4 linked regions of the Elephas maximus indicus genome follow. The protein of the gene in region 3 binds, or shares a complex with, the protein of the main gene of each other region. Links are inferred from orthologs where the notes say so. Each region holds a gene or a part of one and is shown on either strand. Other genes may lie near its edges.

Region 1 (6,519 bases), on a different chromosome or scaffold from region 3:
CGCTGTAATGGACGAAGTTGAACTTCGCGCTCATGTCAAGCCTCACAGAAGGGCGGGGGACTGATCTGAGGACATTAGCAGTATAGCCAGCCTTTCTCCCATAGTTCTTCCCCACTGTCAGTTGCCCTTATCTGTGGCACCGTGGGACATCCCTGCGGGCCCTCCAAGTTTAGGTGGGCCGCAACCAGATTTGGGCCATCCTAAAGCACCTTGATTGCAACACCAGGGGGCTAGGTGGATTTCCCAGTGAGGGCCGATTCTGTGGGCACTAGCCTTCCCTCTGCAAAGGCAGCGGCGCAAGATTAAGAAGCACCATAAGGGCAAGCACGTGGCCGCGGGAGGGGTTTGGGGAAAGGGCGAGGGGAAGAGACTGCAGCTTCGGCCGCTAGAAACCCAAGAGGTCCCACTAGTCTCTAGGTAGAGAGCAGTGTGGGCAGAACTCGGCTGTCGGAGGAACCTGCCGCCTCTCCCTTCCCTCCTATCTTCCGATTAACAAACACTAGAGAAATTTGACTCTTTATTAGGACTCTTTAAATTCGTGTTTACGAACATTTAACACAGGAAAAGAGAAAAAAATCCACCCCATCATTTTTATTCTGGGGGAGAGGGGTAGCAGGACCTAGAACAAGGGTCCAGACAAAGCTTCCGCTTTAAACTCTGCATGGCCCTAGCCTCGGGGCACTAACTACCTTCAAAGCTTGGTAACCCAGAGCTGGGCAGCGTCCGCAGCCCCCGGGGTGCCGGCCTCGGCCTCGGGGGCAGCGTCCGCAGCCCCCGGGGTGCCGGCCTCCGGATCGGCGTCCGCAGCCCCCTGGGTGCCGGCCTCCGGATCGGCGTCCGCAGCCCCCTGGGTGCCGGCCTCCGGATCGGCGTCCGCAGCCTCCTGGGTGCCGGCCTCCGGATCGGCGTCCGCAGCCTCCTGGGTGCCGGCCTCCGGATCGGCGTCCGCAGCCTCCTGGGTGCCGGCCTCCGGATCGGCGTCCGCAGCCTCCTGGGTGCCGGCCTCCGGATCGGCGTCCGCAGCCTCCTGGGTGCCGGCCTCCGGATCGGCGTCCGCAGCCTCCTGGGTGCCGGCCTCCGGATCGGCGTCCGCAGCCTCCTGGGTGCCGGCCTCCGGATCGGCGTCGGCAGCCCCCTGGGTGCCGGCCTCCGGGGCAAGGCTCTTCTCTGAACGTAGAGAGCAGTATGAGAACACCGCAAGTACGTCCCCAGCCTCCCCTTCTCAAAGGGACAGTTATCAATACGGCCTGCGCGGGTGGTGGCAGAAAGCTATTTCGATTCTGGAGTCTACCACGGAATTCCAGAAGACTGGGCTAATTTGTCTTTCCAGATCCCTTGCAAAGAGGAAACCCTCTCCCAGGCCAAGTAGGAGGGGGAGACTGCTGCCGGGATCGTCAGGACCCCTCCCAAAGAGCCCAAAGCCTACCCGGGAGATTCCTCCCTGCACCACTCGGTCCCTTACTTTGCTCCCGGCGTTGTCGGTGATAGTCGGCCAAGTTCGTGATTATCTTGGCTATGTCTTTCTGGTAATAAGGCCGCCCAAATATCAAGATCTCCGCCTTGCCTTCGGGGTCCACCCGACGCACGCGGAGAATGGTCTGTGACACACACTCGACGTGCGGGATGTGCTCTCCGCCCGGTCCTGCGTGGGAGCGAGGAGGCCGTGAGGGGCGGGGACTTGCGAGGGGAAGGGGCTAGGGAAGAAGCTTCCGGGAACCGGCTTGGGGCCAGGGCCGGTGGAGAGGGTTCCCCTGGGTCATGGTCGGAATGGGAAGGTGGGGCAGGAGCCCTCTCGGCCGCCCTCGCTGTACCACTCACCGAAGATCGCTTCCACTAGCCAAGCCTCGAGGTATACTCTATACGGATTCATCAGGTGCTCGGCGTTGAACCAGAAGGGCCGTTTGTCGAGATAACTGAGCTCCTCAAATTGCTGATCCTGCTGCCCCAGCTGCACGAGCGTCGGAAACTGCTTGGAAGTGGCCATGCTTCCACAAGCGTGGCGGGGAAAGGCGCACGACGCAAACCCTCAGTCCGCGCTCCTGACCCACGGTAGAAGATAACCTGGCACCAGGCCCTTATTTCAAGAGCTTTTGGCAAGCCCCTCCCCACCTCGCCCTTGTCATTGGATACCAGGCCTCGCCTCCCAATCCGGGCCCCAGGGCTTCTTCTCCAAACCGCGCAAGTGCGCTGAATGAATCTTGGTGCGTTTCTCGAGAGGCTGTACTAGGCTGGGATCTTCCCGGCGCCGCCCCTCGCCTCTTCGGAGACCCAGGTGCTTCTCAGGCAAGTTCTAAAGGGATCCATTTAGCATTCCTAGGAGGCAGGAATAACTTTGTAGTGGATAAACCTAATTCAAGGAATCCGAAAAAAGTGTTAAAAGGTTAATCTCCTTCTCTGTCCCTTGAGCCCTGGCCATCGAGTTGCCTCGGCAGAGGCCACCACCTTTCCAGCTTCGATAAATAGCTTAGAGAACCTAAATGTTTGACTGTTAGGAGACGTGGTGAGCAAGTATTATTTAAAGTTATATTTACGGACATGGAGAAATGTATGTTCATTATCTCTTAAGTGAAAATAAGGTTGCGAAATAGTGTGTATACTATTATTGTTGAAGCCCTGCTGGCGCAGTCGTTAAGAGCTCGGGTGCTAACCAAAAGGTTGGCAGTTCGAATCCACCAGCCGCTCGTTGGAAACCATATGCGTTACGAAAGAGTATGTATATTATTGTTAGGTACTGCCAAGTTGATTTCGACTCACAGCGACCCTGTGTACAACAGAATGAAACACTGCCCAGTCCTGTACCATCCTCAGAATTGTTGCCATGCAAAAAAAAAATTTTTTTTTGAGCCTATTGTTGCAGCCACTGTGTCAATCCATCTCGGTGAGTATCTTCATTTTCCCGGGCACTCTACCAAGCATGATGCACTTCTGCAGGGACTGGTCCTTCCTGACAACATGTTCAAAGTAAGAGGAAGTCTTACCATCCTCACTTGTAATTGCCCAATCAGTTTGCCTTTCTTCTGTAGGAAAAGGTTTATGGCTTTCTGAGTTGGGTGTATTTCTAATAAGCAGTGAATGATTGGGCATTTTAATCTACTCATGTTTCATTTTAACTGAAAACTTTAAAACTGTCTATGTATGTTATTAGTTTAGACTTTCCATCATCTAAGTGGGCCCAATTCCATGCTACCTGTCACTCCCTACAAAAGTAAATAATTGACTAAAGAAAGTAGGATGGCAATGGGGCTGAGAGTGGGGCTGTGACAGATGTTCTCCAAAAGCTGAGGCCTTCTTGCCAGGAACATCCCAAAACTGGTGTTTCCTTTTACATTTAAAATAACTGATCTGTTACTGTTGAGGTCTTTAATATAGTGTATAAACTCTGGATTGAGATGTCCCTGTTCAAAGGTCAACTTTTGACACTTGGCAGCTGTTGATTTTAGTTAAATTATTTAACTTCATTGTGTCTGAGTGTCTTTATTTACAAAGTGGAGGTAATAACATTACCTACCTCATAGTGTTATTGTAAAGATAAAATGAGTTAATATATGGAGCAAGTTTACAACACGGTTTGGTACACAGGAAGTACTCAATAAATATTAGCATTTATCACCACCATCCATGCTCGTTTTGGGTTTGTTTGATTTTTATATCTACTTTCACTGTGCCTGTAGTTGTAGAAACTACTTAGTTTTTATCTTATAGGGAGATTCCTGCATTTTCTTTTAAACTGGTCATGAGGCCACAAAAACAGGGAAATACATGATGCTATCAACATCAAAATTTATCAACATCAAAATACACATTTAGGTAGCCAGGCCTGTTCAGGCTCTGTCCCTTTTGTGTCCCACTTTGTCCCTCAACCACCCGATGGGAAGAATGTGAGGAAAGGGCATCTGAAGCCAGCACCTCATCCGATTGACCATCCTTCCCTGTTTGCCAGGGATAGCCCAGGTTGTCACCTGTTTTCCCAGTGTAACCATTTATATTCTTCCTCCCCTTCACCCTCAAAAGTGTCCCTGTCTACAGATCTAACTAATTTACAAGCAATAGAAAGAACAGAGGAAAATGTTAAACTACTCCATGGAGATACAATTTGCAAAATCCAGACAGAGGGAAACTATAGAACACACACTTCAGCTTCTTCAACCAATAATTTACAAGGTAAAAGAGGGTATGGAGAAGGAATCTACAGGTTAAAAGAGAAAAGACCTGCCAATCACAAAGTGGAAATCTTATTTTAAACCTAATCAAATAAAACAAAAACATAAAATTCTAAAACTTATGACTTGATGGCAATGGGTTTTATGAGACATTTGGAAATTTAAATACTGATGATTATTTGTTGACATCAAGGATATTTTTAGTTTGATAATGACTTCATTTTTTTTTAAAGGTCTTTTAGAGATACAGTTTGGGTGGGGGAGGGGAAGGGACAGCTGCAACCCTGAAGACAGCAAGTCCCCTTGGCAGAGACCTGGCAGGAGATGGTATGGTGGGCTTCCCAACCCATGGAGAGAAAAAGCTGAGTGCCTTTGGGCACAGGCGTAGGGCTAGGGAGAGGCATGCCTGGGAACACTGCTGGGAAGAGGTTGTCCTCATGGAAGAAATGTATCCTTGAGTGTTCCCGAGCCTGAATTGTAACCTGTTACTTCCCTAATAAATCACATAATTGTGAGTATGGTCTGTGAGTTCTGTGTGGCCATTGCAATGAATTGTCGAACCCAGCAGAGAAGTAGAGAGTGCTGTGGAGGGCCGGTTGGTGTCAGAATCGGTAAAGATGGCAGAGGAGGCATGTCTGACACAGGCCTCATAGGAATCAGCCTTAGGCTGATTGATAGTGTATCTCAGATGGAGTAAGTACTGATATGGAACAATCTCCAAAATACATTTAAGTGAAGTTAGAGGAGGTCAGACACTGCCCCCGTGCCATTTTTATAATGCCTTAACATTAATAAATGTATTCAATCAAATTTTCATGGACTTTTAATTAAAATAACAAACGTCTTGTCACCACTATACTTAAATGTGTTATAAAAACTCATGTTACTATGAATTTAAATTTCTTATTTATCTATATTTTAATTCATTTATTATTATTATACAGTCTTGGAGCATGTAACTCTTTGAGACATTTATCTTCCTAGAGTTATGATAATCTCATTAGACCTAAAAAAAAAAAAAAGCCTTCATTTTAGACTAGTCAGGTTGTGAATATCTAACATACACCTTTAAAATTTTTTTTTGAATGGTAATATACCTGGTACAAAAGACTGTACAGTGAGGTCTCTCTCATCCTTTTAGTTAACCACAGTATCTTTTCAATATATTCTATGAAAATACAATATATATATTTATATACAATTATATATACACATACATATGTATTTGTAACACGAATAATAGCATATAGTACACACTGCTTGTACCCTTTTTTCCTCACTTAATGTATTTTGGAGATTGTTCCATATCACTACTTACTCCATCTGAAATACTATAAATTAATTATCTTTCTCCCACTAAAATATAAATCTCATGAAGATTTTTGTTTTTTCATATTTTTTTGACTTCATACATTGTATATATACATACGTATATGTCCTATGGTTCATGAATATTTATCTTGTATTCAATTTTTTGCTTTTACCAGTAATGCTACTGCAATAAATATTCTTGTTTATGTCATTTCTTACGTGTGGGAATATATGTGTAGGATAAAATTCAGATGTATAATTACTGGGTCAAAGGGTTTTTGTACATTTTCAATTGATAAGATATAGCCAAATGGGGTCCCACTGAGTTTAAACCATTTTATGCACCTACCAGTATTTTTGCGGACCTTACGCCATGAAAAAAAAAAACTGAAGTTTATCTTTTGACAAAACCAATACATATACTTTAGATGCTCCTTCATTAAAAACCAAACAAACAAAAAAAAATTTATCCTTAACGGAAAATGCAGGCAGGAGGGAAAGAAAGCAGAGCATGTGAAATGGTGAAGCTTTCTAGACTATCATCTAGACCTACAGTAGAAATTTAACATTGATTATATTTTCTCTAAATGATTTGTTGAAATAACTCGAGTCTTTCAAGTTTTAACCTTCCAAATGTTGACTCAAACCAACACCGAAATTCTGCCCTTCTTTATCGTAACAAAAATCCTCTTTTGCAAGAGGATATTGGGGTATGTTGGAGAAGTGGCTGTTTTAATAAACAGGACCAGCGCAACGAAAGTAGACAGCGGGCCGCCCACCGCACCGAGAAGGATCAGCGCAGGGAGGGCTCAGGCGGCGTTTGCAGACCCTCCCTGGGACTGCTCTCAGGGCACCCGAATTCGCCCTACTACCGCGGGGCGTTTTTAGGAATAACTAGGGCTCACTTTCCTTCTAGGAGGGAAATCGCCCGCAAACACGCCGAGACCCACGGTCCTTCCCCGGAGCAGCCGGAGTGGTGGGTACGGAAGTCTCGCGTTCTTCAAGAGATCATGGCGCTTGTCCACCATCATCGACTGAAAATTCGGTT
Region 2 (7,637 bases), on a different chromosome or scaffold from region 3:
CAATTATCACACTCTACAAAGATCCCAACACTGTTATTACTGGGATAATTTCATAAAGACAAATAAATTTGAATCCCTCTAGCGTCAGGAAAATTTCCACCTTCAAAGAGAGCTCACTTGAGTGACAGCACTGAGTATTTTCCTCATACCTTCCTGGATTATCTAAATTCTCCATAATGAAATCATTTTTATAAACAAGAAACAAAGTTTCATAAATAGTTACCGCTTTTGAGCACCTACATTTTCTTATTTAACCACAACTTTTTCAAGTAGGTATTGCCCCACTTTACAGATGAGGAAAATGAGGGCCAGAGGTCAGCCTACTTCCTCAAAGTCACAGTAAACAGGTTTGAAAATAGGTCTGTTTTATTTTACAAACTGTCTTTCCTCCATATTGTCAAGTAGCAGAAGCACAAATACAACAAGACAATTTTCCCAAAGCCCAACCTCAAATGAATTTAATAACTGGTTTGTAATGGGTTCTTATCCTCTAAGAGCTACTAAAAATGACCCAGTAGGAAGTCTTTTTTTTTTTTTTTTAGGTTTTTCATCAAAATCTGCCAAGCTATTAATTTTCAATAAAACCCCAGTACAAAGCTCCTCCCCCACACTACGATCATAAAACATATTCCTTTGTTAAATTCATACTTTTATTCCATCGTTGCCCAATTTTTTTTAATTAAGTGAGATGAGTGTTTAAAATAGGATGGATGTGATAAACTCGTCTGAAAAAAAAAAGAGAGAGAAATAAAGTGAACAAAGCATATCTAGAGGTCACTGATTTGCATGTCTAAGGGTAAATGAAATACTTATTTTTTGGACCAATAGGACCATTCCGTTGCAAATCAATTTTTATTTAGTGGAAGGTGAAGTGCTCAATCCCACCAGGTTTATCAACTAACGTCTGCATTACCTTGGACAAATGCCATTTGCATACTCCCTACCAGCCCTTAGGTGCATTGCAGCCTCTGTGTCATTGTGTGTGACATCACTGGGTTGCTATGGATATAGGTGCGAGGTCACTCGCTTTCCTGTGAAACTAGAAATATGGAAAAATTAAAAGAGCCTAAATAACATGAACCAAAGATATTTTCAACATTGGCATCCATTAAAAATGCAACCTATATCATCTGATCTTTAAAATGTTGTAAAATAATAACTGTGGCAATACATTAAGCAACAGGATACTCCCAATTCCCAGAATCAAATCCCTTCCTTAATGATAACATTTTTTGTTAATGTAACTGGTTTAAATATAAAGGCATCACCAATTGTCATCTTTTGTGAACTAGTTTAGCTACTCGAGAATTAATCTACTATACTTACACTGCTTCATTAAAAAGATTTAACATGCAAGGTGCATCCATTTCAAACTGGAGATGCATTTTAATTATCTTTGTTACATAATGTAGAAAGTTAAATATTAAGATAGTGTAAGACCTAAATGATTAGATCATTTTTTCCATATTGAATAATGTTCAATGCTTTCCCCCCTCCTCTCATCTCAAGCGGGTTGACAGCCCGTTAGATAAATGTGGTGTTACTGACAAAATGGTGCAATACAGGCAGAAATCTGCATCTCAAACAAAACGCGACAACTGGAGATCACTATTCTCTTTTCATCAGCGTGAGGGTGCACTAGCTTAAAAAAAAAAAAAAAAGCCTCAGATATAGCTAAAAAAAATTTTTTTTTAAAAAAACACTTTTTCCCCCTTTAAACAACCCCTCCCAGCCTCCACCCAGTCTAGGCTCTCTGCAATATGACAAACGCAGAATCTTCTGGAATGACTTGATACTGCCTCCCACCACCGCTTTGTTTGCAATATCAGATCAGAATTTTTTTTTTCCAACTTACAGGAATTTCAATACGCGTGCCTATAATTTAAAAAAAAAAAAAAAAAAAAGCATATGTCACAAATTAACCAGGCTGCTACATCCACCACTTTTATTTTAAAAACAATACCTACCCTTTTCATTACAAAACATTAGGGGAAATGCAGATGACATGCTGAGAACAATTAATGAAGAAGCTAGTGAGACAAATGTCCCCCCCCCCAAAGGGAGGACTTGCTTTGAGGAATGAACAAACAGGAGCCTTTTGTTAAGAAAAACGTGATCAAGAAGGTTTCGATTTTGCACCATTGACCCCAGGTTTTCAGGAGAGCCTAAAATTTTTCCTGGGGGAGATTGTAAAGGATCTGTCAGGAGGGGCAGAGGGGAAGGAGATGGGGGGCGGGGGGGGTCTAAAAAGAGTAAACCTGCTGAGTGAATGGGAAAGGCGCCGCCCAAACACCAGGGAGAGAAAGAGGAACCGCATCCATGCGGTCCCCCGCCCCCACGCCCCAGGCTGGGAGGAGGGGAAGTGGGGCACAAAGGATGCGCACGGCCCCGCTCGGGTCCCCAGCAGACCCGGAGCACGCGGGGGCCAGAGACCCCGCGCCCGCGAACGGTCCCGGAAGACCCCGCCCCGGTCCGGTCTGAGCCCCGAAGTCCGAGGAGGCAGCGCCGCCAGCTCCCAGGGACGGGGATGAGAGACAGCGTCACAACCCGGGTGCTTTTCACGATCAGGACCCTCCACGGCCCCCTAAGCGAGGAGGGGCGACCCACCTTGCAGTCGCGACAGGCGACTAGTCCCTGGGCCTCTAAGGCGAATGAAGGCGTCTCAGAAAGGGCAGGGAGTGGCGGGGCGAGGGGAGGGGAAACTCACGTTCTTCATGGCCGCGGCCATGTCGTCGTAGCGCTCCGCCTGCTCGGCCAGCCGGGCTTTCTGCACCAGTTGCTCGCGGTCCACCATCTTCGCGGGCTGGGTCGGGCCGGATGAGGAGACCGGGGCGGCCTGAAAGGCTTGGAGGGCGGCTGCGGCGCGGCGGGAGCCCGTGTGCCGGAGGGACCGACCCACGAAAAGAGCAGCTGAGGCGGCAGAGGCTGCGGCTCGAGCTGCGACCGCGGGACCGGCGCGAGGCGGCTGCGGCTGCTGTGCGTGCGGCGAGAGGACAACCCCCAGCGGCCCCGCCCACGCCGCGTGACGCGCCGGGTCCCGCCCGCCGCGCGCACCCCGCCCAGGCCCCTCCCTGGCGCCGTCAGCTTCTCCTGCTTCAGCTCCGCGGCTCTACTAGCCACGGTCTTCCGACCGTCCGCCCGTTCCCCGTTGCTCCGCAACGCTCCCCTTTCTCCTCCCCACGCCTGTTCCTTCGCCCCAGCACCTCCAGACTCCCCCCTCCCCCTTCAGACCCTCGCCCCGCCGGGCCCGCGGCGCAACGGCCCCTGGGAGTTGTAGTTCGTGCTCCTGCGGGGGCGAACCACTGGGCAGACCAAGGACAAAGGGGCGGTCAAGACTACATCTCCCAGAGGACGTAGCGCGCGGGCGGTAGAGGATTGGGGAGGTTTCTAATCTGCCAGTCACTGGGGACCCCTGGCGGGGATGAGGACTGCATCAATCCTAGGGAGTGCTGATTCATGGCCCGACGGGTATTCTTCGGGAAATTATGAGGGGAGGGGTCAAGGGTCTCTGTTTCCGAAATAAAGCAACAGGCCTTTGGGGGGGAAAAGAGAGGGGAGTGGAGAAAGGGATAGGGCGCATCCGCTGTAGATCCATACTGTCGGGGTGGTGCCAGCCCGCAGGATGGTTGAGTTAAGGGGCCAAACCCTGGACTATCAGCCACCCCGCCAAGGTTCCAGCTCCCTATGCCCACCTTGAAGTTCTTGGTTACGACTAGGTGAAAATAAGGAAGGACAAATATCAGCCCAGCATACTGGTTAATTTAAGAAAAGATGCAACTGTGTGGAGGCTGACCCTTGGAAAGCTCCTTCTTCCTCTCCAGGGCCCAGTACTCAAGATTCAATTCACAGTTATGCTGTGCCTAACCCTGGGCTATGATCTGAGTTTGCCCAGTCCTTCTCCCTTCCTGGGACATACACACCGAGATTAGGCTGACAGATTCTTTCCCATATGGTTCTCTTCAGTGAGATTCCATATAGGTCTCACAGACACCCATAGTTTTGACTGCACATTTTACTTACCTAATTTATTCAACAAATACCTATTCAGCACCTACTATGTGTCAACCACTATTCTAAACAATGGTCTTCAACAGTGAACAAAACAGACAAAAATCTCTGCCCATGTGTAACCTAACATTCTAGACATAGAAACAGAAAAGACAAGATAAATAATAAATACGTAAAGTATGTTAGAAAATGATTAATAGATGATGTGAAATGTTGTGTTATGAGAACCTAGAATGAAAGAGTTTGTGTGAGGGAATATTCCAGGCCCTAGGATGCTGGAGGAAGAGGGCACGTTCGTGCAATGAATTACTTAATGTGGCCCTTCTAGCCATAGTCTACAGGGTCGCTATGAGTCGGAATGACTCCATGGCACTGGGTTTTTTTTTAGCCATAGTCTTTGTGACTCCCACACAATGATTGGGTGGAACTATGCAAATAAAGTGCTTGTAGACCACTAAAAGGATTGGACGGCTTGCTGCCAATGCAAGTAAGGTGCATGGAACCCTTGCAGAAGTGGGACCATGCAAATAAGGTGTATGGAGCCCTAATGAGGGGATTGGTCAATTTTGCCATTCTGCTAAGCTTAAAGGGAGACATGGAGAGAGATAGGGAGGAGCTCTAACATGGAAGACAGTGAAATACAGCAGCACAGCAGCAGCGAGAGTGGTAGCGGCACAAGACAGCAGGAACCAGGTGATCAGATGACGCAGTGGGCTTCCTGGCCCATGGAGTAAGGCTGTTACAGTGGGTGTGCTGAGTGACTTCTGGCCAGAGGCTTCCCTGAAGAGTAGGGTGGCCCTGGGCATTTATTGGCAGAGCAAAACAGCTTTGTAACACTTGCCCGAGCAGGACAAAGGCCAGACTGAGGGGCCAAGGGACTGTTCTGATCTGAGAAGAGACCGTCCTGACCAAAGAACTGTATCCCGAGTTGTTCTTGATCCTGAATTGTAACCTGTTGCTTCACTATACCAAGATGCAGTGATTTGAACAGAACAAGGGGACACTGTGTGGTTTAAAATCAGGAAAAGTGTGCCTCAGGATTGTAGCCTTTCACCATACTTATTAAATTATTTGCTGAGCAAATAACCTGAGAAGCTGGTCTATATGAAGAAGAATGCAGCATCAGGTTTGGAGGAAGACTACCAAACTTTTGACATCCAGACGATACAGCCTTGCTTGCTGAAAACAAAGAGGACTTGAAGCACTTACTGATGAAAATCAGAGACTACAGCCTTCAGTATAGAGCACACCTCCATATAAAGAAACAAAAATCCTCACGACTGGACCGATAAGTAACATCGTGATAAACAGAGAAAAGATTGAAGTTGTCAAGGGTTTCGTTTTACTTGGATCCACAATCAGTGCCCATGAAGCAGCGGTCAAGAAATCAAATGACATGTTGCATTGAGCAAATCTGCTGCAAAAGACCTCTTTGAACTGTTCAAAAGTAAAGATGTCCCTTTGAGGAGTAAGGTGCGCCTGACCCATATGCATTCGAAAGCTGGACAAAAAATAAGGAAAACCGAAGAAGAATTGATTCCTTTGAATTATGGTGTTGGCGAAGAATATTGAATAAATCAGGGACTGCCAAAAGAATGAACAAATGTGTCTTGGAAGTGGTACAGCCAGAAAGTTCCTTAGAAGCAAAAATGGCAAGACTTCGTCTTACGTAGGGACCAATCCCTGGAGAAGGGCATCATACTTGAAAATTGAAAAAGAGGAAGACCCTCAAAGAGATGGATTGACACAGTGGCTGCAACAATGAGCTCAAATATAGCAACAATTGTGAGGATGGCAATACTGTGCAGTATTTTGTTCTGTTGTACATAGGGTTGCTGTGAGTCAGAACTGACTGGACGGCACCCAGCAACAACAAAACTTTCCTAATAAACTCCATAACTGTGTGTACGATCTGTGAGTTCTGTGTGGCCGTTGCAACGAATCATTGAACCCAACGGAGAGGTAGAGAGTGCCATGGGAGGGACGGCTGGTGTCAGAATTGGTAAAAAGATTGGACAAGGAGATATGTCTGACCTCCACCTCATAGCAATCAGCCTTGGCTGTTGGTGCTGATACTGATTCTCCTCTCCTCTTGTGAAGTTAGATGAAGCGGTTGGATGACACCCCCACTACGCCATTGCCACACCATGGTATCACTTAAGGGATTTAGAATGTGTTAAGTTCTATAATTTTTTTTTTTTTAATTCTTTCAGGCTAGGCAGGAAAAGATTCTAAAAAGGTTCTCCAGGGAGGAGGTGACATTTCCCACTGATCCTTAATGGATATGTAGGATTAGACAAGAAAGAGCAGGCAGAGGGCACAAATAGCAAGGCTTAGAGGCAGGTTCTCAGGTTCCTCCCTGGCATATTTATTGGTAGGCAAAGAATCTGATGTGTCTGGTACCCTCAGGTGATAGGTAATGGGGCTGGGATGGTAATCACGAACACGAGAAGCCCTGAATGCCAGGCTAAGAAGTTAAGTCTTTATTCCAAAGTAAATAGGAAGCCGATGAGTGAGTTTAACAAGTGCAAACGATGATCAGATTTGCATTTTTGTCTTCTTCAGCACCATTGAATCCTTGGTACTTAACACAGTTCCTGGCACAGAGTAAGTACATAGAACATGTGAAATGAATGAATGAATGCACTCTGGGGAGACTGTGCTAGCAGAAGTGTAGGAGATGGACTGAGTGGGGAGAGAGCCTAGAAATAGCTCTCTTCTCCCCATCTTCCAACGTTGGATCTAGCCTGGCCCCACTTCTCTTACCACACCACCCAGCAAACTGCAATCCTGCTGGTGAATAAACCCTCCTACTTCCTTCTGCTCTTGCATGACTGTTCACCAAGTTATTCCTCTTCCTTTCTCTTCCTCCCTGCAGGCCAGGCATGAACCACTCTGCCGTGGGCATCCGAGGCCAGTGGGAGTGAACCCTTATATCCAATCCTGGTTGTCAGTTTGTGAATTAAACATGTCACTGATCTTGGCTCTAGATGCTAAATCTCAGAACTCCGTGGCACATTTTGGGCTACATCTCTGACTTCTTCCACCTAGTTCCTTTCCCAACCAGTCCAACGCACTTAAAAAACAACCCAGGCCAAACCTACTTGGGAAAAAATAAAACAGATGCAAAGAAAATGATGCTGCAAAGCCAAATAGGAATGACATCTACAGTCTCCATATCGAGGCTTCCCTCTAATTGTGCAGGAGAAAGCTGGCCCTGCCCTCCTTTCCTTTTTAATTTTTTAAGACTCTAGACTTAAAGCTACAGCTGCCCAGCAGCCCCTGGCTGTTTAGAGGGCTGCCTCAGAGGCATGGCAACATTACACAGAGCAAATGGCTTAACATCCTGGTTTCCTCCTCTACTGCCTAGTTCTGCTAAAAGAAATCTAGAGAAGTGAGGTGGAGAACTAGCATCTGGCTTCTGCCTGCTCCCAGCTCTGTGGGCAAGGCTTGTCCCCTCTGAGGGTCTTAATTTCCCTACTGAAATTAAACTAAATGTGATGAGTCATAGTTCTAGATTCGGCATGTTCCTCTTCTAAAATGGAAGGCTATTGGAATTCTTCAGCTGTGGAAACAGGGGTCTGTGCTTGCAGACCTAGGAGATGGTCGAGTTCTAAGGGCTGAGAGAC
Region 3 (8,226 bases):
ATACGTGGGGGGGGGCCGTGGGGGGGTGGCCCATCAGGGCTCCAGAAGCTGACAAGGACAGCCTCCCTGGGATGCTTAGGAGGGTCGAGGAGCTGCAGCCTGAGCCCCTCAGGAAGGTTACCAGTGGTCAGCACCACCACTGCCCACCCCCAACCTCAGCCTCCCTCCTTGGCATCCTCTGCCCCGGGGCGGGGCTGCCCCAGTCCACTCACCGAGTGGCAAATGTTTTCCAGCTGTGTACTCAACTGAAGGAGGGCCCTGAGGGTAAAAAAAGACTGGTTGGAAGAAGTAGCCTGAGGACCCCCGCCACCCCCAGGGTGAGGCCCCAGGCAACACCGGGATGAGGGTGAGGGAAGTGAGGCATCAGCTAGAAGCCGGACTGAAGGTGGTGCCAGAAAGCTTGGTGATCAAGACAAATACAATTTTAAGACCATGTTTTCAAAAGTCAAAATTCAAGCCCCAGGAAATATCAAGGTGTTCCCAATAAAAACCAGGGTCAGAATTACTGTTTTCCTTTTGCTTCAGGCTCCCCGATAGTCCCCTTACTGATCCTGGCTTTTGACCCAGGGGCCTCTGGATCATCCCCAAGCAGAGGGCCCAAGTGGGAGTCCTTCCCTGGGTGGGGTCTTTGGCTTCAGTCCATGTGGCCACATGGAATTGTCCTCACCTGAGGGACTGCTTCTTCAGCTGATCCAGGGTATTCTGCTCGCTCAGCTGCTGCAGGCCCTTGGAGGTGGAAGTCTGAGTCTGGAAGGGTCAAAGCGGGAAGGGAGGGTTGAAGACCCCAGCTCCTCAGACACCCATGCTACCAGGTAAGGCTCCATCTCATCTAGTACCCAGGTACCACCTGTAGCCCCCAGGAATTGGGCCAGCCCCGTAGGAGAACAGGGAGTCCCTGGATGGTACAAATACTTAACACACTCAGCTGCTAACCATAACGTGGGCGGTTCAAAGCTACCCAGAGGCACCTCAGACAAAAGGGCTGGTGATCTCCTTCGGAAAAATTAGCCATCGAAAGCCCTGTGGAGCACAGTTCCACTCTGACACACATGGGGTCGCCGTGAATCAAAGCTGACTTGACAAGAAATTTTTTTTTCTCCCCTGTAGGGGCTAGGGTTGTTAGGTACCACTTGAGTTGATTCCCCACTCACAGCGACCCCATGTGACAGAGTACAACTGCCCCGCGGGGTTTATTTATACTAGTCAACTGCCACATTTTTCTCCCACTAAGCAGCTGGTGGGTTTGAACCACAGACCTTCTGGTTAGCAGCTGAGTGCTTAACTGCTGCGCCACTAGGGCTCCTTTGTTAGACTCCAAGGCCAGGTTAAGAGGGTTCAGAGGAGAGAGGGGGGAGATGAGAAGTTATCACCTGAGGGGAGTTTCTGCTTGGAAATGGAGGGTGGTGGTGGTGGCCCAAAGGAGCTCTGGTGGCGCAGTGGCTTAGCGCTCAGCTGCTAACCAAAAGGTCAGAGGTTCAAACCCACTAGCTGCCCGGCGGAAGAAAGATGTGGCAGTCTGCTTCCATAGATACAACCTTGAAAACCCTACAGGGCAGCTCTACTCTGTCCTATAGAGTTCCTAAGAGTCGAAGTAGACTCAAAGGCAACAGGGTTTTTAATCTTTACGGGAGCAAATCACCAGGTCTTTCTCCTACAGAGCTGCTGTGTGGGCTCCAACAGCTGACCTTTCAGCGTGTTTTAACTGTTGAGCCACCAGGGCTCCAAGATGAGGAGACGGACACAGAAATCAACATTTCCAGTTGCTGCCAATTCCAGTTCACAGTGACCCCATGTGTGCAGAGCAGAACTGGGCTCTAATAAGGTTTTCATGGCTGTGATCTTTCAGAAGCAGATTGCCAGGCCTTTCTTCCACCAAGCCACTGAGTGGGCTCAAAGGGCCAGTCAGGGGCTAGGGAGGAAACACGTAAAACCAGAAGGGCATTCCCGTTTTCTCTCCTAATTCAAGTACCAACAGAATAGCTTTGATTTGGCCTGTTGGCCAGCAAAGTCTACAATTTTACTACCTGGCCTTTGACAGAAAAAGTTGGCCAAACCCTGCCCTGTTAGAAATAGTCACCCCTGGGAAGTAAGGGGTGGAGGTGAGGAGATGGCTTTTGAGTGTAAAATATTAACCAAATCGATGATGTATGCATGGGTCTTATTAGAAGGAAATTTAATTTAAAAGGAAGTGCTGGCTTCTGTCAGCTGGGAAGCAGGTGATGGGTTATTACCACCCCGATCAGAAAGGGCTGGGAGAACTAAGTGAAGGCCATCTGCATTTGAACCCAGGTCTGGGCTCTCTGCCTGGCTGATGCCACTGAGGTTCCCAGGAGCTTCAAGGTCACCTTTACCATCCTGTGAGTGTCCCTCTGGGAGGTGAGTAGGCTCCTAGACATCGTTTTCAAGGAAAAGTCAGCAGGGCTTTAGCCAGAGACTCTGAAATTCATAAGGAGATGGGAGGTCCTGAGGACGGAACGCTGGGCAGTGCCACGGGTAGAACCATCCCGCCCCCCACCCTGGGGTCTCCTGCACCACCCACCGCTGGCACCCTCGGGGACCTGGGTCCTCAGCCCCTCTTTGCCCTCCACCGTATCATCCCACTGTTACTCCCTAGGTCTCACGTTCATTCATTAGATGCTCTCTGATGTCTCTTACTGCCTAGACTAATGGTGGGGACCCAGAAAGGCCGGAGCCCCTGGCTCCACCCTATGAGGGGGTGGGGGAGACAGTACCAGACACATACACCGCTCCCCACCACCCCGCCCAGAGCAATCAGGGCTTGGGGGACGCCAGAGAAGGAAGCCAAAGCTCAAACTTGGTTTTGATTTAATTTCCTAAAGCAGAGAAAGAGATCAATGGAAATGGGTTTTGAAGGATGAATAAGAGTTCTTCAGGTGAATTAGAAGGAATTTATCAGACAGGAAGAAAGAGACCTCTCTCACCACCCCAACCTCTCCTACAGGTTCCTGGCCCCTTCCTTCAGTTCTGCCCCCTCGACTTCCCTCCAGCATAGTCCCCAGCCAGGGAGCTTGGAGTCCGCCAGGAAAGCCGCCTGGAAACTCACCTGTCTGAAAGTGGAGACCCAGGGCCAGTGAAGAAGGTGGAACTTGGAGGGGCCGGCCAAGTTTAAACCAAGGGGAAGCACCTCCCCCAAGGGGCTGCTTGACCCCTCTAGGCCCCGCCTGCCCCGCCCCGGCCCCGCCCCGGCCCCGCCCCGGCCCCCTCCCCGCCGCCACCTGGAACGCGAAGTCGAGCAATGAATGAGCAGCAGCTGCACGTGGGCTCGGGACTCGCGGGCGGTGGACGGGCGGCGTTGACCAATCGCTAGGCCTTACGCCCACGTGGGCAGCGGCCGCCGCCGCCGATTGGTCTGCTCGCTCCAGCCGCCGGCCGGACTGTCACTCAGCGCGCTCGGCCGCCGCTTAACCCTTGCGGCCCCGCGGCCGGGTACAGAGGTCGCGCAGAGCCGCAGTCTGGGGTCCAGACAAGGGAGGGGGGACTTACGGCTTGAGGGTCAAAGGGTGGAACTGGAGGAGGGGCTGAGTGGCTTGTGGTTGCATTGTTTGGTGAGAAGTCTGATCATTGTTGGCCATGCCAAGGGTGGCTTATGGGGGGACCCTTTAGCATCCCCACCCCAATACTTAGATGTGGACTAATGATGATTTCTGCAATATTAAATAACGCGCAATGCCAGCGTGCAATCCCCCTTTCGGGGGAGAATTTAACAGCTCCGGTTTATCCAGGGCTTCCATTGAGCCAAGCCCGGGGCTGGGTAAGGCATTTTATTAGTGAATTCTTCCTTCCGCCCTCCTGTCCCAGTGGCAATGAAAGCTGGAACAGCAAATGCCTGGAGGCTGGTACAGTTTTGCCAGGTTCAAGGTCAGGGTAGGAAAGAGTGTTAAGAGAGACCCCGCAGGGCAGATGATGTCTGAGACTTAAGGGGTTTGCGTTGTTACTGAGCCAGAGAATCCAATTGCGCATGCGTTTGGGGGGTTGGGTAGGATGGACGTCGTGGTGTTGAAGAGTTCTGTTATTAACCTATTTCAGATATTAAGTGGTAATCCTGAGTTCTGCAGTGAGAGGCCAAGTTCGTTCCTGCCCCAGAGCCTTTGCACCGGCTCTTCCGCCTGCCTGGAACAGTGTGCCCCAGACAGACACTGGCTGGCTCCCTCACCTCCTTCAGCTCTCTCCTCAGAGGTCACCTTTTGAGAGAGGCCTCCTCTAACCTTTCCTTTGAAAAGTACACCCCCTAACTCCTTGAGTCGGAATCTACTCGATGGCAGTGAGATTGGTTTGGATTTTGGTTAACTCCTTGAAGGGGCCCTGGTGGCACAGTGGTCAAGTGCTCTGCTGTTAACGGAAAGGTCGGTTGGTGGTTGGAACCCACCCAGTAGCACTGCGGAAGAAAGACCTGGCAATCTTCTCCCATAGAGATAACGGCCTAAAAAACCTTATGGAGCAGTTCTACTTTGACCTGTAGGGTCGCTACGAGTTGGAATCAGCTTGAGGGAACACAACAACAGCCACCCCTTGAGAAGGAAGTCTCCCTTGCTTTGTTTTCTTCAACTGTGGTTTAAATTGCTCCTAATCTTGTGGTCCATCTCAGTGGTTTCTGTGACAGGAGCCTCTAGCGGTGGCTCTGAGCTCTGCTGTGTTCTGAACCCACATACTGATCTCAAGTCTCATAGGGAGGCATCCCCACCCCTAGTCTCTTCCCCGTCCATGACTTCGCCATGACCTTCTCACACCTGCCCAGAGACACTTGGATAGGTGCACTGGCCTGAGATACAAAGAGGCCAGAGAACCGACTGTTCTGTGCTTTGTCACTCGGGGGAAACTGAGGATTCAGATTTAGAACACGTAGCCCCGGAGGTTCTGATGTAAACAGGTGATAACTTGGGTTTTGTGGCTTGCCTACAGAGGAGGGGGGGCTTCCCCGTCAGAGACACAAAGAGGTTTTCACCTGCGATCCCTCAGCTTGCCCTTAATTGAAGTCAATTTTATTTATGGACGAGCCTGCCAATTTCCCCCATTAGCTTCCCTTCTCTTCCCTGGTTGTACAACTGAAGCTGGGCATGTCAATTTATCCAAGGCTGTGCTATCTCCTAGGGCAGCCACTAGATACGTGTGTCTATTTAAATCAAAATTAGTAAAAATGAAATAAAATTTATCCATGGAATATTGTTAATTGCCGTTAAGTCGATTCCGACTCATGGTAACGCCACGTGTGTCAGGGCAGACATGTGCCTCATAGAGTGTTTAATGGAAACCCTGGTGGCCTAGTGGCTAAGAGCTACGGCTGCTAACCAAAGGGTTGGCAGTTCGAATCCACCAGGCGCTCCTTGGAAACGCTATAGGGCAGCTCTACTCTGTCCTATAGGGTCACTATGAGTCAGAATTGACTCAATGGCAATGGGTTTTTTTTTTGTTGTTGTTGTTGTTAGAGTGTTTAATGGCAGGTTTTTCAGAAGCAGATTTCCAGGCCTTTCTTTACCTCTGGGTGGACTCGAACCTCCAGCTTTTCCGTTAGCAGCCGAGCGAGTGCAATTACCATTTGCACTATGAGTCGGAATCAATTCGATGGCGACTGGTTTGGTTTTTGGTACCTTAAGCAGTGGGTTTTCACGCCTGGTTCTTCCCATTACTCTTTCCCTGGCTTTGTCCCAGCTTGGGCAGCTGGGAGGAAACCTCCCCTGAGCTCACAGGGAAGGGATGACACAGCAGACAGGAAGGGAGGAAGCCAAGATTTCCTTCTCAGCGTTTGAATTTTTAAGGTTTACTTGGAAACTCCAGGCCTGGATGAAGGTTGGAGAGCAAAGGCATTTGCGTTCCAAAGGCTTTGGGGATTTTTGCTTTAAAAAGAAACTCAAGGTCAGAAGCAGGCAGATCAGACTCCGGAGGGGAGGAAGGGAAACAGACAGTAGGTGGTCTGTGTTTCTGAGAAGGGACCCTGGGCCTGTCCCAGAGACTTCAGAATTTCTTTTTTTTTTTTTTATCCCCAGGCTCCAGAGTTACCTGTGCTCAGTGTGGGCCAGGTGGGTCCAGAGAGAGCCCAGGTAGAGAGAAGGCCATGGAGTAATTTCTGTTCTTGGAATAGCAGGGAAGCAGTGAAGGGCCTCAGGACTCCCTGGGTGGCACAAACATTAAGTGCTCAACCACTAGCCGAAAAAATTGGCAGTTCAAACCCACCCAGAGGCGCCTTGGAAGTCAGGCCTGGTGAGCTGCTTCCATAAAGGTGCTGCAGAAGAAAGCCCTGGCAATCTGCCTTCTTAAAGAGTATAGCCAAAAAAATCCTATGGAGCACAGTTCTACTCTGTACACTTGGGGTTGCCACGAGCCGGAATGGACGCGATGGAAACTAACAACTGTAAAATGTTCTAAGATTTCTTCCCCGCATCCTGTCCCCTCCCCAGAACTTCCCAGGGGCCCATGTAGACGAGAGACAGTAGCCAAATGTTGGCCACGTCAAGAGAGGGCAGACAGGATATTGAAGGCCTGGGTGCCCCCCCCCGAGATCCATATAATCTCCCCTTGAATTTAGACTTGGCCACAGATTATCTGGAATCAACTGAGGTTTGCCTTCTGCCACCTGGTGGAAAGAGGCTCAAAAGAGAAATTACGTTCAGTTCGGGAAAATCAAAGGCAGTCACGTTTTGGGCACATGTGACTTGGTCCCTTTGTGGTGGTTCTGGGCACAAGGAAGTCCTTGACATAAATCAGTTGCCGTGGAGCCGATTCTGACCCAGGGTGACCCCATGTGTATCAGAGTAGAACTGTGCTCCACAGGATTTTCTTTTTATAATTTATTTTGCTGTTGTTGGGAATATACACAGCAGAACCTACACCAGTTCGAAAATATCTCCATGTACAATTCAGTGACATTAATGACATTCTTCGCTTTATGCAGCCATTCTCACCCTCCTTTTTCAAATTATTCCTCACCCATTAACATAAGCTCATGGCCCCCTAAGTTTCCATACGGTTTTCAATGGCTGAGTTTTCGGCAGTAGATTGCCAGGCCTTTCTTCCGAGGCACCTCTGGGTGGGCTCGACTCTCGGACCTTTCAGTGAGCAGCTGTGTGCTCCTCTTTTCCCCTCTGCCTCTAGCTTGGGTAACCCTTTCCAGGCTCAGAGCCTGATCTACCTGCTTCTGGCCTTTTTTAAAGCAAAAATCCCACAGCCTTTGGAATGAAAAAGCCATTTGCACCAGGGAGTTTGCTTACCATGTAACAACTCACTTCTTCAAATGTCAACCCCAACATCTCCATTTTACAGAGGAGGAAACTGAGGCACCCCAAACCAAAACCCACTGCTGTGGAGTTGATTCCGACTCATAGCAACCCTATAGGACAGAGTAGAACTGCCCCACAGAGTTTCCAAGGAGCACCTGATGGATTTGAACTGCCGACCTCTTGGCTAGCAGCTGTAGCGCTTAACCACTACTCCACCAGGGTTTCCAGCTGAGGCACAGACAGGTTAAATGAATACCCAAGGTCAGGCCATTACTAAATGGCTAAGCTTGGAGCAAGAAGCCCTGGTGGCACAATGGTTAAAACTCTCAGCTGCTAACTGAAAGGTCGGCAGTTCAAAACCACCAGCTGCACTGCGGGAGAAAAGACCTGACAATCTGCTCCCATAAAGATTACAGACTCGGAAACCCTATGGGGCAGTTCTACTCTGTCCTATAGGGTTGCTGTGAGTCAGAATCGACTCGATGGCACCTAACAACCAGCTAGGAGCTGAGCTATCTTGCTGCAAAATGTACTCTCATAACCCTTACATCATAAGGTTGTTGGGTGCCATGGAGTTGATTCTGACTCATGGGAACCCCATGTGACAGAGCCGAGCTGTCCAATAGGGTTTTCTAGGCTGTCATCTTTATGGGGAAGGAGCCACGGTGGCATGGTGGTTAAGCTCTTGGCTGCTAACTCTATGAGGCAGCTCTGCTCTGTCCTATAGGGTCCCTACAGTCAGACTCCACTCGAAGGCAATGGAAATCTTTATGGGAGCAGAACACCAGGTCTTTTCTCCCACGGAGCCGCTGGCAGTCTGAACTGCGGACTTTCCATCAGCAGCTGAATGCTTAACAGTTGCACCTCCAGGGCTCCTTAGCTGTTGTGTAGGTGCCCAAGAAACGGTTGCTCAGGGGTCAGCTGAATGCATAATACTTGCTTCCTTTCACCCACGTGCTTTTTTAATTTTTTAAATATAACTTTATTTTGTTGT
Region 4 (6,314 bases), on a different chromosome or scaffold from region 3:
TTAATGCTTTCCTCAGAAACTTCCACTGTGCTGGGGTCTCCAGTCTAATTCCAGCTTCATCAGCATTTATAAAATAACTTGTTTCCAATAGAAGACCCATTCTAGGTAGGAACTGCCCTTAGAAAGTCTTCTGGTTCCCTCCTTAAATGTTATTAAGTCCCTTTAGTTCCTCCGTAAGACTTCCAAATTTCTGATGATTCTTCAATACATTGACTTAATATGCGTTCTCACAACTAGAGTAAGGAGATGTAAAGCCGTGGTTCTCAAGGTGAGAGTCTCAGCAGCACTGGCATCACCTGTGAACTTGTTGGAAATGCAAAGTCATGGGCCCTCACCCAGTACTGAATCAGAATCTCTGGAGAAGGGGTCTAGGGAATTGTGTTTTAACGAGCTATCAAGGTGACTCTTGATATACTTTAAATCTTACTAACCACTGAAACCAAAACAGATCAGACACTTGAAGGTCATCCGCCCTTATACTTCTGTCCCCTGCCTGCATTTGAGGGCCTGAGGCTAACCATAAAAGAGTTAGCAGTTTCCAAATGGTAAAACTAAAAACAAACAAGAACAAAAAGAGTATCAGCCTTCTACCCCCGCCAAGAATGAATGAACAGTCAACCTTTTATAAATCTGCCTAACTAAATTAACACATTTTATTGCCATTGGACCCAAAAAGCAAGGAAATCCATTTCTTGATTACAAGAGCTCTACAAACTCATGTTTGCACCAAAATAATCAAAGCATATTCATCCAGACACAGAAGAATGGAATGCAGATATTAGATAATTGTTTCCCTCCAACTTTGGTAGCAGAAACAGAACTGTGCTCATCATACTCCTGAGGATACTCCCTTAAGCAATAGGATGCTGGGGGGCCTGGGGACTGGATGCACCTGCCTTCAAGAACTCCTCAAGCTGTTCCATCTTCTCACCTGGAGGAAAAGCAATTGATACCAACCATTAGTAAGGGAAACGCTTGCTGTTTTAGCCTAAGCACTGATAAACGAGGGAAGGAGATGCTGGCAACATCCTTTCTCAGGATGGAGGCTCGAAAACTGGCATCTAGGAATAGGCCAGCTGAGGCTGGCTTGGGCAATGATGGCCTTAATGAATCAGATCTCAACTTACTTTTCCAAGGGTGTAGTGGTTAAGTGCTACAGCTGCTAACCAAAGGTCGGCAGTTCGAATCTGCCAGGTGCTCCCTGGAAACTCTATGGGGCAGGTCTACTCTGTCCAATAGGGTTGCTATGAGTTAGAAAGACTCAACAGCAGTGGGTTTTTTTTTTTTTTTTTTTTGTAACCTGGGCTCTCTCCCTCCCAAAGGGATCCCTAGGGGTAGGGTTTAGCTTCTTGGGATTGAGAACAGCAAAAAAGTTGTTTTGAGAGGGAAGGGTGGTTGGAAAGGGGTTGAGCAAGGCCAGATGGGTCCTCCGTGGCTCCCCCTACATGCAGATTCTCTAAGACTCTCACTTCGGTGACGACGTTTCCGGTGCCACGATGCCACGGCCAGGAGCACCTTCTTCACCCGATTCTGTACCCTGGGCCGTCCGAAGATGGTGATTTTGGCTAGGTCACTGGAGTCCACCACATCCACAGTCAGCAGAATCTGGCTCATCCACTCAATTTTTGGAATTATGGCTCTGTCTGGGCCTAAACAGGCAAGAAGGAGAGGCTATGAAGGTCGAAGTGGTTGCAGCTTAGGAGCTAGGTTTGAAGGGAATGTTGGCCAGAGAAAGGGAACAGCTGGAAGTTGGGCGTCATGGCGCCAAATTGGCCTCTGAATCTAGGAAAGAGGCAACAGAGAGTAGTTGGGCTGCCCTTCTCCCACTGGAAATGACTGGCCTGCAAGCACATGCGGGATCACTTACCAAAGATCAGGTCCACCAGCCATGCGTCCAGGTAAAACACCAGCGGTTCCTTTAGTTCCTCCACCGGAAACCACCATGGCCGCAAGCGAAGCGTTGGTCCTTGATGTGGTAACACGAGGGAGTCTGGCTCCACCTGGGCCTCAGCGCCACCAGCGTTATCCACCATGCTGGAGGCAGCTCTTGGCGGGATGCTAGGCAGACGCGCGAAGCTCACCGCCTTTACGGTTTCCCACCAGCCCCGCCCCTCCGGCGCTCCTCGCGCCCCCCCTGGCGGTGAGGAGGCTCAATCGCCTCCTGGAGCTGCGGCTCTGCAGGGCCCCGGGACGCTTCCTGCTGAGCCAGTCGCTGGGGCCCCTCTTCTACCTGGAAGGAGTAATTTTTTGAGCCTGCCTGGCGTCGCCCTCGGTCATCTCTGCCTTGTACAGTATCACTTAGCCTCAAAGGCCGCTGCTTTGTCACGTAGCTGATAAATAGTGTGAATTGGAATTGGTGACTTTGTTGATCGGGAATCCCCTTCAGTGCCTGGGTTAAAAGTTTTCACATTACCCTGCAGACGTAGGTGGGTAGGTCAGGCATAGGGCAGGCTCCTCGAATCTGTATAATGTATTTTCTCCCTGTTATCTTCTGACTCTTTCCGGTTAGGTTGCCATCTCGAAATCATTCTAACAAAACTAAATGTGTCGTGTTTTATAAGTAAAATGTCCGACCTGATCCTTAGAGGAAACGTGGCTGTTACGGGCATATCCTGTTTACTTCCATCATCCTAAGACACAACTGCTGTTGATACCTATTTCTTCCCTGTGTTCTTAATTTTAACTATAACTTTAAATTATGGCAGATTTCACATATCCAAAAGTAATGTAACACCCATGTACCTCTCCCCTTACCCGCAGTTAACAGATATTAACATTTTCCTACATTTGCCTCACTTCTCTGATCTTTAAAATGTATATCACTAAAGAATCTTCCCTTTCCTTCCCCAGAGGAAATTATCATCATGAAGCTGGTGTGTATCATACCCACACATGTTCTTGCACTTTTGCTAGGGTAGTTCTATAAATATTGCTTGGTTATAAATATTGCTTGGTTAATTGTTGTAGAATAGATAGCATCTGCTGTACAAATTTTTTTTCCTTAAAATTAGGTATAATTTGTTTTCAAAATCTTTTTAATGGAAATTTTCAGTAATTTACATAAGGGAGGATAGTATTACTATATTAAATTCCCTCATCCACATAATTTAGGCTTCAACAATAGACAGTATCTATAAGAGGAAATGAGAGGAAGTACTGCACCTAACTTTAGTGGATATTTTTATTTGTTCACTGTAATTTTCTAAATCTACACAGTAATAGATGCACATTGTGAAAACATCTTGAGAATATAATTTGTGAAAATCTCCCTTCCCATGTGCAGTAGGGTAAAAAATCTCAAAGTTTAGTAAAGCAAAAAGAAAGTTTTATTTGGCATGTATTCAAAAGGGCAAAAGCGGGAAGCTGACAAGTATGCTGCCAGAGCTGATGTCTGCCGGAATCTGAGAACATTACACAATCACCAGTGTAAACATCACCAATGGGTAAGATCGGTGAAAGCTTCACCTTTTCATGGATTGCCTAAAAACTGCTAGATCAACGGGACTCCACACTGTGGATCCTCTTTCTTAATAATCACTGGTACAACAACGTTTCAGTCTGGAGGGTCTTCACTGGTCCAACAGATCTTACTATTCACTAAATGCTAATAGAGAAAGATAAGAGTTGAAAGGTCTTTTGTGCTGTTTTGTTCATGTGAAAGTTTCCCTAAAAGATGTTTTCCAAGATTGTCCTAGCTGTTATCTTTATACCTCGGGGGCCCAGCTGATGATGTGTCCTTGTGAGTCCGGCTCCAGCTGGGTCACATACTAAGATAAGAAATAATGGCTCCAATATTATCTCCTAAATCACCTGTTCTCCATCATCCTTTTACTAATCCTTTGTCAGGTGTGTGTATCGTGAATCTCTTCTTCCAATCGATAATGTCCTTTCTTTACGGTATCTTGATGAACAAAATTCTTAATTTGAACATAGTCAGATTTATTAGCCTTTATAGTAAATGCTTTCTTTGTCTTGCTTAAGAAAGCCTTTCCTAGCCTGAGGTTTAAAGATATTCACTATACTTTCTACTAAGAATGCTGAAGTTTTGATCTTTCATTTAAGTGCTTAATCTACCTGGGGTTAATTTTCTTCAGTTGGGCATGAGGTAGTACTATAATTTCATCTTTCTATTGTAGGGGAAAAAAATCGCAAAGTTTAGTAAAGCAAAAACAAAGTTTTATCCGGCATATATTCAAAAAGACAAAAGCGGGAAGCGGAGAAGCGTGATGCCAGAGCTAAGGAGTCCAGAGAGTATTACAGAATAGACAAGAATGGGAAAACGAACAAGCATGCTGCCACCCCCGTGTCTGTCCAGGTCCAGAGAAGGTTACAGAGTCATCAGTATATATTAACATTACAAAATGGGCAAAACAATTGGAAGCTTTATCTTTTCACAGATCTGCTAGAAACTGTGATCCTACATTTCGAATCACCTTTCTTAATGATCACTGGTACAGGTTTCAGTTACAACAGTCAGGAGGGTCTTCATTGGTCCAAGAAATTTCTATTCACTAAATGTTAATAGAAAAAGGTAAGAGTGGAAAGTCTTTTGTGTTCTGAAAGGTTTCCTAAAAGATATTTTCTAAGATTATTCTATTGTCTTTATCTCAGGCCCCAGTTGATCTGTCCTTGTGAGCCCAGCTCCAGCTGGGTCACATTCTCTATACTCAAGGACAGGGAATGATGACTCCAGTATTATTTCCTAAATCACTATAAATTGATAGCTTTTTTGCTCTGAGCCATTCTCTTGAGGATGTGCCCAACCTGAGGCCACTTCAAATTAAATTTCTGAAAAATTTCAGACTTACACATGTAGCATGAGTTAGCCAAAACCTTGCATAAAGTCTGGCTTGTGGTAATTAATTATCAGGTCAAAACATACCTGAGAAAGGCAACCACAAAACAAGTTCCTTTGATGTTTCCATCTGGATGACAAAGTTTATTTCTGATTTAGTTTTATGTTGGAGGTATGGTCACTTGGTGTCCCAGCTTTGTGCAGGGCTCTCCTATTAAGTTTCCTACATTTGGCAGATCTTGAGTTGTATTTGCTGCCCCCCATGCCAACTTCAGAACAGAATCACAAAGTTTTAAGGCTTAGTAGAATCTGCCAAGATGAGTCCGTTTTGACACTCAGTTATCTCCCAGGCTTCCTGGTTTTACTTTGGATTGGAGGGGCCGTGAGTTGAATACAGGCTCCAACATTGCTAGGTCTGTGACTGAATGTACTTAAACTCTCTGTACTCTAAATAGTGGTGATGGTTGCACAACGCTGTGAATGTCATTAATGCCACTGAATTGTTAACTTAAAAATGGTTAAAAAGGTGTGTTTTCTGTTATATATATTTTACCACAGTAAAAAGAACAAAACTCTTTGTACCCCATGGTAAGGATATAGTACCAAGAAGACCTCCCAGGTATCATATGCTTCCATTTTCTCTGCTGAGCACTGGAGGAACCAGTCTGAAGAGGCTTTGGACTCAGGCAATAGAGTTTGTGAGTGAATTGCTCTTTAATTTCTCATTGAGAATCTTTGTCTTCCAGTACTTCCATTCTTGGTCTAATCTTCAGCTCTAACGTGGAATCCTCTAGACAGTGAAAAATGGTACAAAGCATAATAAAGACATTAATCTTTTTGTACCAAATAACATCAAAATGCATAAATCATAGATTATTTTTTTAGATGGTTAAATGAGGAAAATATTCTACAGTAGTAAGAAGATATTTAACCAATCAGTGTCAAGCCAGGAGCTATCATTGCAAAAAAGGAATATAATAAAGGCCTAACCGTTCTGAAGTATAGAGGACATTCTTCTAATGTTCAGGAAGCATGCCTCTGATGTTTAGGATTCATTTCATGCCTTTTTATTCCTCCAGTTCTCCTTTACTGCTTTCTTTTGCATTAAGTGAATATTTTCTAATGTATCATTTTAATTTGTATAATGATTTTTCACTTATTTTTGAGTTTTTAAAAATTTTTTTTAGTGGTTGCCCTAAGGTTTACTATATACATCTTAGCTTATAAGAATAAGCTTCAGATTTATAAAAGCTTAATTCCAGTGAAATATAAAAATGTTATTTTTGTATAGCTCTATTCTCTTTTCATCCTTTTGAGGTATTATTATTGTACATATTATATCTGTTCATGTTACAAATCCAACAATACATTGTTATAACTGATTTAGAAAATAATATTGGAATTATTATTCCCTGTCCTTGAGCATACAGAATGTGACCCATCTGAAGCTGGGCCCACAAGGACTCACAAGGACATATCAGCTGGGCTCTGATATAAAGACAATAAAAAAAAAAAAATA

The links.
Region 1: TLE6 (region 3) and KH domain-containing protein 3-like share a complex: the UniProt entries of both Homo sapiens proteins name them as parts of the subcortical maternal complex. The link is inferred for Elephas maximus indicus from reciprocal best matches to the Homo sapiens genes TLE6 and KHDC3L.
Region 2: the proteins of TLE6 (region 3) and YWHAG are in contact, whole or in part, in a cryo-EM structure (PDB 8XI3), measured with the Mus musculus proteins. The link is inferred for Elephas maximus indicus from reciprocal best matches to the Homo sapiens genes TLE6 and YWHAG. Residues at the interface, in NP_444484.1 of Mus musculus: Phe137, Leu138, Ser139, Glu140, Ser141, Asp142, Leu144, Gln145, Leu295, Arg347, Asn430, Leu447, Gln470, Met472, Asn489, Asp510, Asn511, Thr512, Met530, Pro553, Arg555; in NP_061359.2 of Mus musculus: Lys50, Arg57, Arg61, Lys125, Asp129, Arg132, Tyr133, Gly174, Leu177, Asn178, Val181, Glu185, Phe201, Asp202, Ile205, Ala206, Leu208, Asp209, Glu213, Tyr216, Lys217, Thr220, Leu221, Ile222, Met223, Gln224, Leu225, Arg227, Asp228, Asn229.
Region 4: the proteins of TLE6 (region 3) and OOEP are in contact, whole or in part, in a cryo-EM structure (PDB 8H94), measured with the Mus musculus proteins. The link is inferred for Elephas maximus indicus from reciprocal best matches to the Homo sapiens genes TLE6 and OOEP. Residues at the interface, in NP_444484.1 of Mus musculus: Trp256, Ser258, Phe304, Thr305, Arg306, His307, Val318, Asn320, Val322, Asn323, Glu332, Ser333, Asn354, Ser355, Arg356, Leu373, Ala374, Ala375, Pro376, Ser377, Leu378; in NP_080756.1 of Mus musculus: Arg32, Pro33, Trp34, Trp35, Pro37, Gln39, Glu40, Glu67, Trp70, Met71, Gln73, Gln94, Pro95.

Annotation. Positions count from the first base shown.
Region 1 is NC_064819.1:136,624,814-136,631,332, reverse strand, and holds KH domain-containing protein 3-like, read right to left. Parts: upstream 1,985-6,519; coding exon 1,819-1,984; intron 1,643-1,818; coding exon 1,463-1,642; intron 1,168-1,462; coding exon 692-1,167; downstream 1-691. UniProt on the Homo sapiens protein: Component of the subcortical maternal complex (SCMC), a multiprotein complex that plays a key role in early embryonic development.
Region 2 is NC_064830.1:94,203,019-94,210,655, reverse strand, and holds the start of YWHAG (14-3-3 protein gamma), read right to left. Parts: upstream 3,003-7,637; 5' UTR 2,795-3,002; coding exon 2,708-2,794; intron 1-2,707. UniProt on the Homo sapiens protein: Adapter protein implicated in the regulation of a large spectrum of both general and specialized signaling pathways. Binds to a large number of partners, usually by recognition of a phosphoserine or phosphothreonine motif.
Region 3 is NC_064821.1:6,075,070-6,083,295, reverse strand, and holds the start of TLE6 (transducin-like enhancer protein 6), read right to left. Parts: upstream 3,147-8,226; 5' UTR 3,065-3,146; intron 2,437-3,064; 5' UTR 2,397-2,436; coding exon 2,346-2,396; intron 748-2,345; coding exon 668-747; intron 259-667; coding exon 213-258; intron 1-212. UniProt on the Homo sapiens protein: Component of the subcortical maternal complex (SCMC), a multiprotein complex that plays a key role in early embryonic development.
Region 4 is NC_064819.1:136,634,247-136,640,560, forward strand, and holds OOEP (oocyte-expressed protein homolog), read right to left. Parts: upstream 2,148-6,314; 5' UTR 2,034-2,147; coding exon 1,868-2,033; intron 1,650-1,867; coding exon 1,470-1,649; intron 932-1,469; coding exon 852-931; 3' UTR 638-851; downstream 1-637. UniProt on the Homo sapiens protein: Component of the subcortical maternal complex (SCMC), a multiprotein complex that plays a key role in early embryonic development.